Caenorhabditis elegans: one gene and its partner. The protein of the gene in region 2 interacts with the protein of the main gene of each other region in a biochemical or structural test. Each region holds a gene or a part of one and is shown on either strand. Other genes may lie near its edges.

Region 1 (3,151 bases), on a different chromosome or scaffold from region 2:
TCAAGGATACGAATTTATAACATTGTTATGCGATTTCTGTAGTTTTAACATCTTCATTCTAGATTCTAGACATGTTTTCAGTTTCCAGTCATAATTTCTATCGCGCTCTATCAAATTCAAGTTAACATCTTCATTGGTCACCGGAAAGACGACGGCCCGCCTAAGTTTTTATGACTAATTCGAAAAGTCGTTTCGGCTTGTGCCCTCCTACCATCATACTTCGCTTTTTGGGACTACTGGCAACAACGCCAGTGTTGAGGCGATATAGAACCCATCATTTTGAAGATCCGACAACGACCTTGTTTTTTATTTTTCCGACTTTTTCTTCTTCTATTTCGAACTTTTCAGCTTTTTTGAAATGGCAATAGCAACGAAAAACCCATTTTCATCACAATTATCTCGAACTTTTAGCAGATTACTTTTCCATTACCAGTCACTTTCAAAATTGGAAAATTCTTAGAAAATCAGAGGGTGACTATTCTGAAAACATTATTGTCTTTTGCCGACTATGCGCTACATCCGATTCATTTTTTGTGAGCTCTTTAAGTTATTGGTGTTCCCTCAATGTTATCAGTTACAAGACAAACCAGTAGTGTTAAAAAACGCCAGTTAACAGTTTTCAACAAAAATCACAAAATGTAACTTGTTTGAGAAAACTTGTAAAACGGAAAATACTCAATTTGTATTTAAATATATGATATTATGTATTAAAAATCATTTTAAGATAAACAGTTCCCATTATCTTATGAAAATTAGTAGATTAAATTCAAATTAGGCTTTCTTATATTTCTGGAAAGAAAGAGCTTCTGAAAGTGTTCTGAAAATCTTATGATTTGTTCAAACATCAAAGTAAACATACAAACAAAATACACATATTTGTGCTAATGTTCTAAATATGCAAACTTTAAAGTTAAAGACTAAAGTTGTTTGCCCACTCTAATGTCCATAAGAAATAATTCATACTTATTTTACTAGATTATGAGTTCTCCAAGGCAATTTTTGATCGTGTATGATTGGTGGCACTCTGAAGTTCTAATAATAAGATAAAGACAAAAGATAAGGTTTCTTCCTTTTTTAATAATCTTATGAAAAATTGTTTCTAGAACATCTCTGAAAGTATTTTATTAAATCAAATGACTGCTATAGCTGATCAATGAAAAAGTGCTCCCCGTCCAAACCGGAATATAAGTAGTTGTTTCGCATGGTTCAACTTCGGTACCCAACCTCATAAAACTAACTACTTCTTCACTTTGTCTCATTTTGGTGCATTTGAAAACGTTGAACTCGGACATGTATTGCCCATAGTTTAAATTTTTGAATAAGCTATTTTGAGATTTAAAACGTTATTTTGGCATTTTATTTCAATTTTTATTTAAGTATATTCTTGAGTTATTCATGCATTTCATTTTTGATCACTGAAACCCGATTCTGATTCAGATACAAAAACTGAATTTCGTGGGTTTCGTGATATTTCACGATTTGAAGATTTAAAGATTTTGAGATCAAACGGAGAAGACCCTAATATAGACTGCGATGAAACAAAATAACGTCACGGAATTCTTTTAAAATGAATGGAATCCGGAGCCCGCTTCCTTCATAGTTTCTGTTTTGCAACTCTCGTATCCTCCATCACCAGACAACAAAAATGCTTCATTTGAAATGAATTCGTGAACAGTTTTTTGTTTTTAGTTTAGAACTGCCGCTCCCTTCAGCTCCACCCTCCCATCAAATAGGTGTGCTCGATGTGCCTCGGGACATTGGATTTATTTTTGTATCCTTGCTCATTTTTCATATGCTTTATTCTTTGTCTACTCCGTGACATTTTTCAATAATGCTTTCATTGGAAGTTGCAGTGAAGTTTGAGTTCCATAGGTCCGATAAAATCATAATTAATGAGTTCTAGGAAGTGTTTTACAACATTTCAAATTCATAAATGTTCTCTCCCTCTTCGTGATTCATTTTTTGCATAATTACGCTTGATGATTTTTTGTTGTTATGTGGCTCAATATGTTGTATAAACCTTTTTTTCAGAAACTTTAGTGAGCAAATGTTGGGTTACACTCAATCTCGTGTGGTTATTACACTTCTACTGTTTTCTGTGTTTTTGGCTGTTTGTATGGCAACACCATCTGGTTATCCTGGTCAAGAGCTCCAGAACGGTAATCAGCTGATATTAATTTTCAAAATTTTGATTCCATTATTTTTCCAGTGTCAGATGACTACCCGATTTATGAAGAGGAAGGGTTGCAATTGTCTGCTGAAGGCACAGATGAACCACATGAGTAAGTTAAAATTACTTTTGACATTTTTTGCAAGCACGTTAACAGTTTTTTTTAAACATTACAGAGAAAAACGAGCTGTCTTTCGAATGGGAAAACGAGCAATGATGAGATTTGGGAAGCGTGCAATGATGAGATTTGGAAAACGTTCCGTTTTCCGACTTGGTTAATTTTTACGCCTACCATGATGACTTCCGGGCTTTAAATTTCTGATCTTCGATTAATAATAACATTGGTTTTCTTATTCGCAACGTTTTCCTTCCTCCTATTTGACCCCTATTCTAGAGATTATAACTTTCCTTCCCTATCTAATCGAACGATGTGCGTTTTTTTTAACGTTTGGAATAATAAATTGAAAGTGTGTTACTTGATTAATAAGACAACTAAGCAAAATGCCAAGTTTCAGGAAAGATCAAAACAAAATGCTCTTTAGATTTCATATCCTCTGCGGTCTAACCACTCATATGTTTGCCATTTCTATGTCTCATTAAATATTTGCAACTGACAAAATAATTATGATCTTCCGATAGCTTCATGACTGATTGTTTATCAATATGTACAGTTGAATACGTTGTCAAAGAAAAACAGTGATATACTTGACTAAGATGAATTTATGCATGTTTTTTTTTCAATAGACGTATTAGACGTATTAAAAGTAATCGTTTTGGCAATCGGTTGAAAAATTTTGCAACGTAATGATTCCTAATATATTTTTGAAACTATAGGGTATGCTAACGGGACTCGTACTTAGTGGCATAACTTTTAGTATTACACTGAAACTGTGGAGCTGGAACTGGATAATGAAAGGAAGGCAATCAAACATTTTCAGCGATTCTAGCTACTCGCATGTTTCTACCGCAATCTACAACATC
Region 2 (4,113 bases):
CATTAGTTAGACATAGTTTATGCTTTCACCTACGTTAGCGCTCAATATATAAATATCCCTTTATCCCTCTGTTAATTCAAATACTTCCTGATCCCTCCGAAATTTCAAAATGAAAGGGGTTTCAAGCTACTTGCTTTTTTCGGATTCTCTTAATGAGTTTGAATGTACTTTAAAAAACCAATGCTTTCATGAGTAGGATATAAATTAGCAACTAACTTTCCCGGGACCTCCTACACTTTGTTGCTCAAGTACGTCCCGCCCATAAGCTGTTCGTGGCTCCCCATCTCCGGACCCAATAATTGCCCTCATAACGTGTTCGTTTCTCCTTTGTTATCTGAATCTTCTTCGCGTTTTTCCTTTTCTTTTTTTCCCTACTTTTTGCTCTTCACTTCTGTTTCTTCAATGTTTTTATTTGGGGGCTTCAAGTATTAATGATCACGTCTGAACCAGGTAGTGTTGCAAAAATTCTTGATAATTACTTTTTCTTGTTCCTTTTCATTTTATAGTCTAGCCTTTCCAAATAGGTCAATTGAATTCTCTAGCAGAAAGATACTGGGGAAAAAATAAAAGATCAGGTAATTTTAATCATGTCATACCTACGTGCCTACCTATACCTTTTTGAATAAATGTTGGAACATTAAAGGTTCAACTATCAAATTAGAAAAAAAAGTACATCTTGTTTACTTCAACAATAAACAAGACGCAATGGTAGGCTCTTCAGTTTACAATCTAAAATTTTCCGAACCTTTTTCAAGTGTCTGCGAATTTCTGTGAATTTCAAAGAATTTCGTGGAAAATGTCACAGAACGGATTTTTATGAAAATTTTCGGAGAAATGCGAATTCCTCAATTTTTGTAGGACCAAAAATAACTCGGATTCTCAGTACCCACCTGTTTTTGAAAGCACGTCTGAGCCATAGGCAACGCCAAATATCTGAAGCCTGAGTCTAAACCAAGCCTAAGCCCAAACCTAAAATCAGAATCCAGGATCTGATGACAAAGAATCGTGCACTAATTTCAGGAATATGTCCCACCCCCACGGAAGTGCATTATGATGAGATGAATCTATATGAATTATTAAAGTTGTTTGGAGAGTGTGTGTGGTGAAGCTGTCAGTTAGCAGGCTTTATTTTGTTTGCGATCCATCTTTTCCTATCTGGAAAATTTGATGAAGTTGTGAGCATTTCAAGAACATGGGGTTCCCCGAAGAGGAACAATTGTGCCCCTGTTTCCAGTTGCCACCAAATGAACAGCTGAGCAATATTCATCAATTAGCTCAATTTCCTCCCTCCATTTTCTTATTTTTTCTTCAGTTTTCTTGGACATCTCTATTTTTACGTTCTGTATTCTATAGGATGCTAGTATTTTAAATATGTTTTATATGGCGTGGTGCACAGGTGTTGTGCGCACCTTCTATTTCTACATTAGGTGCCTCAGCAAAATGTAAGCCTAGGCTGCCTAGAAAGAAGGTTTTAAAAGTATTAGAGTGCTATGACGTCATGCGTATCTTAGAAAATAATATTTCCCTTATTGTCTGTGTTCTTCCTTGCATTCACTGTTCCTCTACGCACCTTGAACTTTTGCATTTTCAGCTCATAAATGCACAATTGACCAACAAACATCTTCAACTTCCACTAAACTCTCACAAAAACAATGTTGCTACTACTCTCCCGGGTTCTGGTGAACGTGATGGTGCTGATGTGCTTTGGTGGAATTCTCACGAACTTCATCTCATTCTACATCTACACTCGTAAAACATTCCGGAAAAAGAGCATAAACGTCTTGCTCGCAGCCTTGTCAATGTCTGACCTTTGCGTCTGCGTTCTTGCAATTCCAGTTTTTGCAAGTACTCAACTTCAACAAGTCATTCCGCCAACAATTACTGCAATGATCATGGTGTACTTGTATCCAGTGACCATAATGTTCCAGTCAGTGTCAGTATGGTTGCTGGTATCCATAACAATTGACAGATACTTAGCCGTATGTCATCCATTCATGGTCAATACGTATTGTACAAGGAATCGCGCTCTCATAACTGTTGGAGTTGTCGTGATATTCAGTGTTGCTTACAATTTGATTCGAATTTGGGAGTACACGATAAATTTCGATGTCGCTCCTGAGAATCGTACGATTGAAGATCTTGTTGTACCGAAGCTTCGAGCAAATCCGCACTTCTTATTGTGGTACCAGAATGTTGCCACGTTGGTGTCGCAATTCGCATTTCCACTTACAGTGTTATGTGTTCTCAACATTCAAGTAAGTTGGTTACAATGGGTTGAGGAGTAGGAGTAGGCCTTAGGCTCAGGCTTATGCTTAGATGTATGCTTAGGTTTAAGCTTAAACTTAGTCTTAGGCTTAATCTTAGATTTAGGTTTCGGCTTAGGCCTTGGCTTAAGCTTAGGCTGAGTCGTATGCTTAGGATTAGGCTGAGTATTAGGCTTAGGCTTACGTTTAGGCTTGGTCGTGTGCTTAGGCTGAGGATTAGTCATGGGTAGGGTCAGTATTACATCCTAGACTTAACTGAAGGTAGGACATTATTTTTATTTATTTAGATAAAGCATGTAATCCTAAAAACGATTAGTTTTAGTGTAACTGCCCAAATTTTCTAACAAAGCAATTTTCCAGGTAGCGCGAACAATTATCGAGGCATCCGAGCAACGAAGAGAACTAGTGGCAAGTGTGAAACGAGAACATTCGACTGCAAAAATGATGATAATGGTTGTTTTAGGTAAGATTCATTTTTTGGATATTCTAGAAATCGGATTTTTGCTCAGTGGTCGTGAAAATGAAAATACGGTCACACTCATAGACTGATAGAAGGGATTTGCGGTAAAAATTTGTTTTATTTTTTTCTACCTACCGCGAGGACAAACCCAATCTTAAAATTAGTCACTAGTTTTGAGAAACATTAAATTTTTTGGATAGCATTTGATGAAAAAATTATTTACATATCCCCAATACAATTTAGTATTAAAGTCAACAAAGTCATGAAGCTTTCAGTATTCCTCGTTTGCTACATCTTCTCATTTATTCTAAATATATGGGAAATTCTTGACAAGGAGACTTTTGGAGGAGATATTGGTTGGTTTATGAATGACATCAACAATGTACTTATTGTTGTCAACTCGACGAGTGCAATTGTTTTCTACTATAAATATTCAACAAGGTAACGAGACCTTTAATAAATAGAATATTAAATTTTTTGCCCATTTTAGGTTCCGAAATCAAGCACGGACACTTCCCGGGATACGGTGGTATGCTAGTATGTCAAAGTTCAATGTATATGATACAGAGGCAACATCAAATCGAACAATGGTCACTAGATACAAAGGTTTTTTAATTTGTAATAATATTATATCCTTACCCAATTCTTTTCAGAATCCATGATTTCAATAAGAGGCACGTCAACTCGCCTGAGCAGCTCTCACAATTTGCTCTACAAACCGAGCTACTCAAAGCCATGTGATATCTAGGAATTTGTCACAATTTATTGCCATAATCGAATTTTTGTTGTTAACGGGTTTTTAAGTGACATATCGTTTTCTTCTTTTTATCTAACAATTTTCACTGGTGTTTTTGAAAAATAAACTATCATATACTTATCATGGATTACGAAAAGAAAATCCCAGATTTTTTGAGATTTGTTTCTTAAAGTTAAAATACGTTTTCCAGGCGATGCCAAGTTTCGTTTTTCGATTTAGAATTGTATAAATACAATTTTTTCACTTTTTAAAAATAACTACTGGTTTAAAAACAGTACTGACAGAGAAACTAAAACTTTTTAAAAAATTATTATCCAGCTGTGAACTACTGAATTTTTCGCTTTAAAATATTGGTGCCCGTTCTCACCACGAACGTCACCTTTTCAAAAAAAAACTTTAAGAATTACAGTGATCCACTCTATAGAGGTGCACGGATTTATTCAGATGGGTCTCGGCGCGCTAAAAAGTTTATGGTAGTATGTTTTTTTTTTAATTTTTGCAGTTGCGTCCTCGTCCTCGTTTTTCCATTTATCAATTCAATTAATTTACTTAGTATGTCGAATTGTATCGTTAAAAAATTCGCTTAAAATGACGTAATTTCATTGAAAAATGGAAAAGCAACGAGGAAGCAG

Evidence for each region.
Region 1: the proteins of frpr-3 (region 2) and flp-20 interact in a test that uses a peptide from one of them, tested with the Caenorhabditis elegans proteins (one large-scale study listed by BioGRID).

Annotation. Positions count from the first base shown.
Region 1 is NC_003284.9:9,348,769-9,351,919, reverse strand, and holds flp-20 (FMRF-Like Peptide), read left to right. Parts: upstream 1-2,025; 5' UTR 2,026-2,047; coding exon 2,048-2,159; intron 2,160-2,209; coding exon 2,210-2,282; intron 2,283-2,346; coding exon 2,347-2,449; 3' UTR 2,450-2,644; downstream 2,645-3,151.
Region 2 is NC_003283.11:7,769,676-7,773,788, forward strand, and holds frpr-3 (G-protein coupled receptors family 1 profile domain-containing protein), read left to right. Parts: upstream 1-1,585; 5' UTR 1,586-1,652; coding exon 1,653-2,255; intron 2,256-2,624; coding exon 2,625-2,727; intron 2,728-2,999; coding exon 3,000-3,165; intron 3,166-3,214; coding exon 3,215-3,330; intron 3,331-3,377; coding exon 3,378-3,472; 3' UTR 3,473-3,594; downstream 3,595-4,113.